2 linked regions of the Macaca mulatta genome follow. The protein of the gene in region 1 binds, or shares a complex with, the protein of each later gene. Links are inferred from orthologs where the notes say so. Each region holds a gene or a part of one and is shown on either strand. Other genes may lie near its edges.

The links.
Region 2: NFKBIA (region 1) and CHUK share a complex: the UniProt entries of both Homo sapiens proteins name them as parts of the 70-90 kDa complex. The link is inferred for Macaca mulatta from reciprocal best matches to the Homo sapiens genes NFKBIA and CHUK.

The regions. Positions count from the first base shown.
Region 1 is NC_133412.1:108,519,715-108,526,029, forward strand, and holds NFKBIA (NF-kappa-B inhibitor alpha), read right to left. Parts: upstream 3,675-6,315; 5' UTR 3,585-3,674; coding exon 3,358-3,584; intron 2,748-3,357; coding exon 2,639-2,747; intron 2,312-2,638; coding exon 2,101-2,311; intron 1,811-2,100; coding exon 1,722-1,810; intron 1,615-1,721; coding exon 1,345-1,614; intron 975-1,344; coding exon 927-974; 3' UTR 447-926; downstream 1-446. UniProt on the Homo sapiens protein: Inhibits the activity of dimeric NF-kappa-B/REL complexes by trapping REL (RELA/p65 and NFKB1/p50) dimers in the cytoplasm by masking their nuclear localization signals.
Region 2 is NC_133414.1:112,238,067-112,243,223, forward strand, and holds part of CHUK (inhibitor of nuclear factor kappa-B kinase subunit alpha), read right to left. Parts: coding exon 5,136-5,157; intron 4,839-5,135; coding exon 4,691-4,838; exon of another isoform or gene 4,663-4,690; intron 4,166-4,662; exon of another isoform or gene 4,119-4,165; coding exon 3,985-4,118; exon of another isoform or gene 3,705-3,984; intron 3,400-3,704; exon of another isoform or gene 3,165-3,399; intron 2,849-3,164; exon of another isoform or gene 2,700-2,848; intron 2,368-2,699; exon of another isoform or gene 2,248-2,367; intron 1,669-2,247; coding exon 1,569-1,668; intron 329-1,568; coding exon of another isoform or gene 299-328; exon of another isoform or gene 210-298; coding exon 129-209; 3' UTR 1-128.

The DNA of each region.
Region 1 (6,315 bases):
TGAGTATCTGCTAACAAATGTCAGTACAGTCCCATTTCTGAGCCTATGTCCTTAAGAACTTCCTGTATTAGTGAGATCTTTCCCAGCTCTATATGAATTCAGCATATTCTTCTTGGCCAAAATAATTTCCTCAACTGGCAGTTAGGGTCCAGCAACAGTTGAAATCAAGGGATGACTGAATGACAATGGAGACCTCTCCAACCACAGGCCAAGCAGCACACTTCCACCCCAAGCCTGAAACTGGTATTTCCTATAACCTTGCAACAGCCTCCCTCCCACACACTGAGCCCAGGGTGCCTGCAAAGCTTTGCTGGAGGCTGGGTGTCAGGTGTGAGAAGCTGCTGGGAGTTCCCTGCTCCCCTACAATGCTCCACCTCCACCTCTGCCGGAGGATGGAACTTCAGAACAGGAAGAAAATGATCAGGATAACTTATTTGGAAAAATCTGTTTAATAAATATACATAATAAAAGTACCAAAATAATTACCAACAATACACTATGTACACCATTTACAGAAGGGTAACACAAACCTTGACAGGTATTAACTTTTCACCCCACATCACTGAAAGGTCTAACACTCCTGGCTGTTACATGCCACAGGATACCACGGGGTCAGTCACTCGAAGCACAATAAATATAAAATGTGGTCCTTCCATGAATTTTTGCTAATGTCCAAAACCCCACAGAGGTGAGGTTTAAAAGAAGTTTTCTTGGAATTTCAATGATCTTTCTTGTCCTCTACAAAAAGTTCACAAAAGCAACACAATGAGGGCTGATCCCACTACAATAAAACGTTTTGGGCCAGGCAGTGTGCAGTGTGGCTATAAGTACACCCTTTAAATTTTTTTTCTTTTTTCTTTTTTTAGAAAAATAAAACTTTTTTTTGTACAAATATACAAGTCCATGTTCTTTCAGCCCCTTTGCGCTCATAATGTCAGACGCTGGCCTCCAAACACACAGTCGTCATAGGGCAGCTGAAAACAAGGGGAAAGAAGACACATTAAACTTCCGAAGCTCTGCCAAGCCACTGGGATGGGGAGGCCGCTACTGGAAATAACCCTTGGACTCCATTCTCCATAGCCCAAATACAATGAACTTTACAGGCTGAGGGAGTTTGCCTTTAACTCCCATTTTAAAAATGTTTTAAAAAATGCTTTTCTTTAAAAAAGGGTAAGCTATTTTAAAAAAAAAAAAAGGTACATTATTGGGATACTGGTTATGCACAGAAATTTGAGAGACTCATTATGTAGATACCCCTCTGATAAGGAGCAGTTCTAGGGGCCCGGGAGGGTGAAGGGAATGGTCCCTCATTAGTTAGAGAGCCCAAGGAGTTCACAGACTCACCTCATCCTCCGTGAACTCCGTGAACTCTGACTCTGTGTCATAGCTCTCCTCATCCTCACTCTCCGGCAGCATCTGAAGGTTTTCCAGTGTCAGCTGGCCCAGCTGCTGCTGTATCCGGGTGCTTGGGCGGCCCCAGGTGAGCTGGTAGGGAGAATAGCCCTGGTAGGTAACTCTGTTGACATCAGCCCCACACTTCAACAGGAGCGACACCAGGTCAGGATTCTGCAGGTCCACTGCGAGGTGAAGGGCAGTCCGGCCGTTACAGGGCTCCTGAAACCAAAAGGAATTTGAGATGCTTATGGCTGCGTTTGGAATTTCTGCTCACAACATGAGCACGGGGAACTTGACTCAGTGCATCGGAGGCAGGAAGCACTAACCTGAGCATTGACATCAGCACCCAAGGACACCAAAAGCTCCACAATGCCCAGGTAGCCATGGATAGAGGCTAAGTGCAGACACGTGTGGCCTGGAAGAACAAAACGAAAAAAGTATAACCACCTGTTTCAACCCTCACTCCTTTCACCTATTCTTTTATGGGACAAATAGTCATATCTTCTGAATTTTAAGAACCCACCGTCTGGGTTCTGAAGGAACTTTATAAAGGCATCCAACAGGCACTTTGCACACGTATTTTCTCAACCTTTCAAATGCTGGCAGTTTAAGTTCTTGCCTCGACTCCTTAAGTTGGCCCACCTGCCCCTTCTCCACATCACCTGCCACCTGAGGGGGTGGGGCAGGGCAGGGAGGCAGACATACCATTGTAGTTAGTAGCCTTCAGGATGGAGTGGAGGTGCGGGGTGGTGCAGGACTGAGTCAGGACTCCCACGCTGGCCAAGCAGCCCTGCTCACAGGCAAGGTGTAGGGGGGTATTTCCTCGAAAGTCTCGGAGCTCAGGATCACAGCCAGCTCCCAGAAGTGCCTCAGCAATTTCTGGCTGGTTGGTGATCACAGCCAAGTGGAGTGGAGTCTACGAATGCAGGAGAGACCAGAGAAAGTAAGCCAGGGACCAAACCCACACCCTGAGTTCCCCTGAACCCGTGTCTCCTGGTTGGGTGCTGCTCCTCCTGGACAGGCGGGTGGGGAGGACTGGCAAATAGCAGAGACTCCAGGTGGGTCACAAAGACCTCACCAAATCAGTGGAATTTCCTTCACTCTCTAGGATGTGGGCTGACGTGAAGTAAAAGGTGAGGGTGAATAATGCCCAGTGGCCCTGAATTCAGAAAGGATCTGGGGTGACTTTGCTACATCAGTTCCATCCCAGAGTTAGAGAGCCCGGGCCAGGCAAGCGGCGCACCTGCTGCAGGTTGTTCTGGAAGTTGAGGAAGGCCAGGTCTCCCTTCACCTGGCGGATCACTTCCATGGTCAGTGCCTTTTCTTCATGGATGATGGCCAAGTGCAGAAACCTGTGGGGAAGAGAGGGAAAAACCCCAGGGGTGGTGAGTGCACCGCGTGGGGCCCAGGGAGGCGCGGGCTGCGGGGGATTGCGCAAGGCCGGGGTTTCTGGAGGCCGAGGCCGCGGTGTTTTCCGCGAGGTTATTATGAGCTGAGTGTTCCTGGCAGGCGCCCAGGGACTTTCCGCCCCCCTCCCCCCGCGGCCCCGGCGGGCGCCGGCCAGACCGCCCCGCCCTCCCGCCAGCTCGGAACGCCCTGTACTTCCCCTCCCGGCTGCTCGGCGCCCGCCAGCGGCCAGAAACGCCTTATGCAACCGGGGACTTCGCGTCCCAGCTGCCGCCCCGCCCCCGGCCTAGAGGACAGGCCTGGGGGGAGGGGGCGTGTGGCGACGCTGCCGTCCACCAGGGCCCAGCCGCCGCCCCTCCGAGTCGGGCCGGTGCCCCGCGCGGCCCTGCAGCCCTGCAGCGTTCGGGGCGGTGCAGGAGCCCCGGGGCGCCGCGGCGCCAGCCCGGCTGCATCGCTAGTTCCCCAGGTCGGGCTCCAGGCCCGGCGTCTCCCACTCCCCGGCCGCGCGCATCCGGCCCTCCCGAGGACCCCCGGCTCCGGGTCTGCGCCACTTACGAGTCCCCGTCCTCGGTGAGCTGCTGCTTCCAGGGCTCCGCGCCGCGCGGCACCTCCTGCGGCTCGAGGCGGATCTCCTGCAGCTCCTTGACCATCTGCTCGTACTCCTCATCCTTCATGGAGTCCAGGCCGCTGTCGTGGCGGTCGTCCAGCAGTCGTTCCTTCTTCAGCCCGTCGCGGGGACCCTCCATGGCCCACTCCTGGGGGCGCTCGGCCGCCTGGAACATGGCGCGGGCGAGCTGCGGGCGCTGCTGCGGGTGCGCTGGGCCGCGGGCTGCGCGCTGCTTCCTCGCTAGGGCGCTGGCGGGCGGGACGGCGGCACGGGCTGGTGTGGGCTCTGCAGCGCCGCCGCGGCGCCCTATAAACGCTGGCTGGGGATTTCTCTGGGGCGGGGTCAGGCGCGGGGAATTTCCAAGCCAGTCAGACCAGAAAAGAGAACTGGCTTCGTCCTTTGCTAGGGGGAAAAAGAAGCCTAAACCCTGAGCTGGGGTTCGTCGGAGAAACTCCCTGCGATGAGCCACTGGGGTCACGGACAGGGAACTTTTTGATGAGTGCCAAGTGGCTGGAAAGTCCTTCCGACCAGGCCCCCTTCCCCGCGGTACTTCCCTGCAGCCTGCACCCTGTAATCCTGTCTCTCTGCAAGTGAACCTTCTTTCCCTGGGGTTTCCCACGATCGATTTGAATTGGGGTCGTCGGCTGCTGAGATCCCAAGGACGCCGACATGATGGGCGGTCCCTCTTTGGGGTTTGCCAACCTGCCGGTCCTTTCCGTTTTTTGATCTTTTGAAAACGCAAGAGTGGAAATGATGGCTGGGCGTAGGGATTTTCTTTCCCCAGACTTCTAAGGGGAAGGACGCACTGTGGTTATGGGGCTGCAGGCCGCTCTTGTGTTTCTGCTAATATCAGGCTCATTGCAGAACGGGGACGTTTAGCTTCGCGCCCTTCCTCCCCTACCCCCCACGCACCTCTGCCAGGTAGAACTGTGAAAGCTTTGGAGGAGTGGAAAGCCTAAATCTTTGGAAAACTCTCAAATCACTTCCAATCACTTCCTAGGGATGAACAGCCTTGTTGAGTGGGGGAGGGGCAAACTCTCCCTGTATGGGGAAACTGCTGAATAGGACCATGATTTTTTTTTTTCCCCCCAAGTAAAGCAAGGTGTTAATCTTTGTAGTGGTGGTTGTGGATACCTTGCAATAACAGAGTAGCTATTGTGTTCATAAGTAGCTGTTGCATTCATGCTATCTGACCTACATTGTGCTGCCGCAGAGAATGGATCCTGAGCCTACTTCTGGGCATCTAAACTGAGCAATTCGAGGAGCACTTAGAGAAGGAGGCTGAAGAATGAGTTTAGTTAGTGCCTTAACCGCGATTGGACCTTAAGGACCGCTAAGAAAGTAGTTGCCAGTCATCCTGCAGGAGGCTCAAGGCAGCCCCATCCTCCCATCCTGCCCCCCCCCCGCCTTGCTCCCTCGTCCTGGGGGATAGTAGCAGTTGGACCCATTCATGCCACCCAGGTAGAAAGGGGTTTTGGCTCACTATGCTCTGGTTTCACCTGCAGAAATGTAATTTATGCTCTCCATCCCACCTCCACCTCCAAGCCTGCAAGCCATGGACTGAATTCATCTACTTGGTAGAATTGGTACAGGCAAAATAAAGCACACTTCGGTCAGAGCTCTTCAGAATTAGTCCCAGGAGCCCTCTGTAGTTCTGCAGAGATTTCTGGTGATGATTGCAATCATCTTTACCTTGACTGGCCATGTACTAACCAATCCTTCCCCTCTCTTCAAATCTCCACCCTTCCCCTAATATTAGAATGTAAGAAATCTGACTCAATAGAGAGAGACCAAGTATGAAGTGAAAAAAATTAAAATCAGATAGAACCTCCAGGGTAGTAATGATCATATGTTACAATGAAAACTTCCCAGGGATAGACACCACTGTCTCTGTAGGCTTATGATATGCAATTCTACAATGATTGAGGCAAGGTGAAACAGGGACCACAGGGGGGCATCTCAAGTGCAGTCTTAACTGCACACTAGTTGGAGGGGTCAGTTAACTTTTTTGTGGTATACTTACTTCTATAATAAGATTAGATTGAATGTTACTTAAGGTCTTTTGTAGCTTAAAAGTTATAGTGTCTACAAATGCGTGCCTAATTCTCCTTTGTAAGGGTGACCATGGCTCTTGGAAATGTCAGGGTATAAATTTTTGAAAGAATTCCAGTGCCTTAGGTACCACATTGTTGGTTCTCAGAACGAATCTTGTAAGACAGATATTGTTCCTACTTCCCTAAAAAGAAACTGAAATGCATAGAAATTTACCCAGGAACCCCTTGGCAGTATATGAATCATTTGGCCAAAGCAGTCTTAGTATTAACACGTTTGAAAACACACTGCGAAAATCAGACTGACTACGCTATAATTTGGAATATACTCAAAACTATTTTCTACTCCAACTGTTAGGGAAAATAAAGGGTGGGTGTCCACCCACCCCCATCTGGGGAAATTCACTTCTTTTAAACATGTACAGAAACATCAAACTCTAAATGTCCCAATTATAGAGGATACATCAGAAGAAGATATTTGGCTTCCGGTATAAAAATGGTTATGAAAAATAAAAATATCTGAGGAATAAGGTTTCGCACCACCTTCTGTGGTTTTATATTTCTGGTAGCCTTCAGGACCTGGTGGTCTTTATTCCTGATTGTTTCGTGTGACACCTAGTGGTAAGAGTAAGGCACAGGCGTTCCTTGATTTGTCATAGTGCCTTTTGAAAAAATTGGGAGGTGCTGAGCCTTGATGACTTGTCCCTACAGTGGAGATTCCCAAGGAGGTACCTTTTGTTTTCCTGCAGCTCTGGGAAACAGTTTTGAATAATGTGATCCAACAGGTTTTTTTCCCCATCATCTATATGGTTTAAGTCAACAAACATTACAACGTGGGTGAAAAAGAATATACAC
Region 2 (5,157 bases), on another chromosome or scaffold:
ATGTTTCACCAAGATTGAAGGCACAAATGTGTCATGATGATGCTCCTAAACAGCTGTGGCATTAAAACAAATATTCAAACAAGTACATTGACTTTTTATGAATTTCTGGCTTAAATTACTCAAAAATGTTATACTTGTAAAATCATGTTCTTCTGATCATAGTAGAAATGTAGTTTCTGTTCATAGCCATTTCTTCCATTGACTGATGTCTGAAGAATGGTTTCATGGGGAAAAAACACATTTCCAACATGTATAGCAACAACTTCCATAGGTTTGGGGACAGTGAACAAGTGACAACTCATTCTGTTAACCAACTCCAATCAAGATTCTAAAACCAGGCATGAAAAAGTTATAATTAGATGTTGACTATAAGTAATAAGTATATGGGTGTTCATTTTTGCAAGTTTTCTGTCTGTTTGGACATTTTATAATCAAAAGTTGAAAAATAATTTCATTTACCTTATTTCCTGATTTTAAAAATTTCAGAGTTTTTTTCATAAATATTTGAAGCAAACAATTATTCTTTCCTTTTCGTTTTTTCTTTTCTTTTTTTTTTTTTAAGAGAGCAGGATCTTGCTATGTTGCCAAGCTGGAGTGCAGTGGCTCTTCATAATGCACTGCAGCCTTGAACTCCTGGGCTCATGCAATCCTTCTGCCTCAGCCTCCCTAGTAACTCGGACTACAGGTACATGTCACTATGGCTGGCCGCCATTATCATCCTCTTTTTTTTTCCTTTTTTTGAGACAGGGTCTCACTCTGTCACCCAGGCTGGAGTGCAGTGGCAGGATTACGGCTCACTGCAGCCTGAAACTCTTGCACTCAAGCGATCCTCCTGCCTCAGCCTCCCAAGTAGCTGGGACCACAGGTGTGTGCCACCACACCCAGCCAATTTTTATATTTTTTGTAAAGACAGGGTTTCGCATGTTGGCCAGGCTGGTCTCAAACTCCTGGGCTCAAGCAATCCATCTGCCTTGGCCTCCCAAAGTGCTAGGATTACAGGCGTGAGCCACCATGCCTGGCCGCTGCTATTTTTCTTAATGAAAGAGGAAATATACAGAACTGACATTAAGACTAAATGCAGCAAAAGTTGATGCAGTAAACATTTTATTGTAATTTCCCCAAGTTTTAACAAATCAGTAGTTTATAGTAACCAAATTTTAGCACACAGTTTTATTATTACAGCTATATAAACATAATTTATTTTCTATTTGGGAGGTACCATATCTGAATTAAAGTACAAGTCCCATCTTAATGAAGAAAATGGATTGCTGAAGCAAAAAGGTACAGAACAAACCATTCAATTTCAATGGTCACATTGTTAAGAAAGCTTACCACTCATTTAATTTGACCAAAAATGCTATTATTGAAGATAATTGATGACATAATCCTAGTATATCCCTGAGTAACAGCAGATAAGGATTTAAGGTTGAGGATATTCCCCAAATGCTCTTTCCTCTTGAGTTCTGTTTCCTATATGCATCCCAAATGCCAGACAGGCTAGCATGGAAAGTTAAACCTTTTGCACCCAACATAGCCAAAGCAGGCACCCATATCCACACAAAACTTACCATCATACTATTGCCCTGTTCCTCATTTGCCTCATGAATAATAGTGCTTAAATGGCCAAGGCAGTTCAAATTTTCTTCTATCATTTGTGCTGAAGTATCCCTGTGAGATGAAAGAACAAAGCCTTTTCAAATTCAGCAAAAGGGCATATGAATTTCCTCTACTTTCTAGTCTTCTAGGTTAGCACAATCACTACCCTTCCTGTAACCCAGTACCCCAGTGCAGTTGACTCCTGTAGTCTTTAGTTTCCTCATCCCTCCCTACAGAGGCAGAGTCCTGTTTAAACCAAGCTTCTGCCTCTACCTCTACCTACCTCTAAGGATAAGAAGTCCACTATAACTCCAATCTGACTTTCCTCTGAAACGTAAGAGGCACTTATGTACAACTTGCTTTTCCCCTGAATATGTAACTAGGGAGGAAAAAATCCTTGTGGCAAAGACAGATGAAATACCTCTTTTTGTTTCTAAAAACTTCTCTTTCCTTAAAAGTAGTAAAAACACCAGCATGCATACTTCACAGACACAAATGTAGGGGAGAAGAGAAAAAAGTAAAATCTGTTATGTAGAGATCACAGAAAATGAAAAACTCATTAGAAACTACAGATAGCAATGAAACAAAACAAGCAAGCTGATTCCTGAGGACAGCAAAAGAAAACAGTGAACAGTGTGGTGGGGGAGCTACCTAGAACCAAGAAGTATCCCTGGAAGTTCATATTTGAAGGCAATCCTGCTTGTGGTTTCTACCTTCATGCTTTCCTCTTCTACATGGCCTCTCTCTTCTCCCTTTGCCAACTTCAGTCCCCTAACAAGAGTCCGTTTTAGGTCATGGATGATAGTCACTATCAGCTTAGAATGACATTCTGATTCAGCTCTTATCCAACAGATGGAAAAATTGTGGCCAAACAGTTCCCAATCCTTGGTAGTTAAGTACCACAGATACATAATAATTGAAATCAATTTTCTTATACAGTGTATTCTGACTGGACACGGTGGCTCATGCCTGTAATCCCAGCACTTTTGGAGGCCAAGGCAGGTGGATTACTTGAGATCAGGAGTTCAAGACGAGCCTGGCCAACGTGGTGAAACCCCGTCTTTACTAAAATACAAAAATTAGCCAGGTATGGTGGCACGCGCCTGTAATCCCAGCTACTTGGGAAGCTGAGGCAGGAGAATTGCTTGAATCTGGGAGGCGGAGGTTGCAATGAGCCAAGACTGTGCCACTGCACTCCAGCCTAGGCGACAGAGTGAGATTCCGTCTCAAAATAAAATATAATGTGTTCCTTCTAGAAAATACATTGAAAGTATGTCACATATACTTTTGCAAACAACCACACCTCAAATTGGAAATCACCTGTATTGCGGTGACATTTGCAAACATTAGCATCTGCCAAAAAAACCTAAATGCCTTTAATAAAGGCATAAAAGTAAGTAAAGTATTAAATTTTATTTCCTTCAACTCTGATTGCTGGAATATTTTGTAAAGTCCATATATTTAATTATAGCCTGTGCTACAGTTGTAGGTGTACTGCATTGGGCCACATGTATAATGACCCCAAGATATATACCCTGGAACTTCCTTTCTTTAAAAAAATAAAATACCTGATATCAGCTTGCCTTCCTGCCATGTGCTTTTCTCTCATAAAAGTAGAGTACAGAATGTGCAACTGCATGACCTCCTGAGCAGTGATGTAACATGGCTGCTCTTCTGCAAAACTAATTATGGGCAGAGTTTCCAGGAAATGCTGGTGCTGTAGAGGTCTCCATGAGTTGTGAGAAAAGCGACAATACACAAGCTAGCAAAGAGCCACTGGCTTTGGATACGGCACATCTTATGCTGAGAAAATAACAGAAATGGATAGTCATTCAGCTTTAGCAAAAGAGTAGGAATTAATAAAATATAGGGCTTGGAATTTGAGTTCTTACTTGCAAAACTGATTTAAAACATTGAAAAAAGTCTAATCTTAGAAATACAAAGTTATAAAATAGATCTCAAAAATTTATTAGAAGGGTAATCAAGGATCCCCAAAATGATAAATGCAAAATGATAGCATAATTTCTTATAAACTGTTAATGAAGGAATAAGGTTTGAGTAAAAGAAAGTAATAAGCCAATAAAAGAAAAGACTTAGAACTTGGACTGAGCTAATAATAAGCAACATTTGCTGAACATTTATTTCCCAAGCACTTTATATACATTGTCTAATCAAATTTCCACAACAGTTCTATGAGACATTCCTGTTTTACAGGTGAGGAAATATGAACATCAAAAAAGTCAAGTAAGTTGCCTAAGATTATTACAAAGGGATAGTCAGGACTCAACCCTGGTCTGAAGGCACAGAAGACTACCTTAACAACTACTGCCTCATTCCTATACCACTGCTATGAAAACACAGCTATCTATTGTTACAAAGTAAACCCACCCATCTTGAGGAGTTACCACACATGACAGAGAATGATCATGTTCTGCTGAAGTCGGGGGCAGCCATACTGACGTCTGAGGGGTTACTGCACCTTCTAGACTGGATCCTACAAGGGACCGGGCAGAACTCTGTGTCTGAAGGAAAAGAAAAAAAATCATCAAAAGATTACAGGCAAGCATCTCTGTTGATTCACACAATTTCTTACCATATTCCTAAGACTTACATTTCCATTACTACTTATATGCACAACCAGAGTATTTCAGTGCAAAACTATTCCCACCTTTACACACTGTTAGTAAACTGTCCTTGGCCCCTTTCTTCATTGACTAAAACCAAATGTATCCATTCATCTTATACCATTTTAGTTGAAGAAAGAAAAAAAACCCAGTTGAATAGATGGTCAGTTTCATTATCTAGTCAGGTACATCTATCCCCAAGTTGGGTTGGAATACCACAGTGGTCAAGGGCTAAGAGGAGTATAACAACAGAGAAATTGGAAAGGAGAGATGATAATAAGTCCTGCATCTCAACTGCTAGTTTGGACACCAAGCAAGGAACATGGACGTCATTTCATGCCAGTGCAAAATATATACATGCCAGCACAAAATGTGTTCAAGAGGGCTCACCTCATGCTGATAAAAATCCCCTTTGCAGGGAATAACAGCAACTCAATGTCACATTAAATAATTCATTAATAATTACTTACACAGGCAATTTTAAGGAGATGCCATATTTCTTTCTGCCTTTTTCCCTGCATGAACATGACAGTATTATCAGCTTCTTTGATGTTACTGAGGGCCACTTCCACCTTAGGGAGTAGATCAATAATCTTCTGCTTACAGCCCAACAACTTGCTGGAGAGATTAAATCAGTGTCAGACACTTACATGTTCCCCAAGACTGTATGTATACCATATTCCCAAAACCCAGCTGAGGAAATGAACCACAATCAGCATCAGATTTAATGACTGATCTCCAAAGTAATGCATACAAAAGGACACATAAATGCAGACAGCTATGGCCAAGCTACCCAAGGTACTTTCAGAATCCTTCCTGGGTAAGTATACTTTACCAAAGAGGGCATTTGTACTTTGAGAAGAACAAGATAAACGTATCCTGGTTCTTCAGTAGGAAATGAAGCAATTTTCCTACCTCAAATGACCAAACAGCTCCT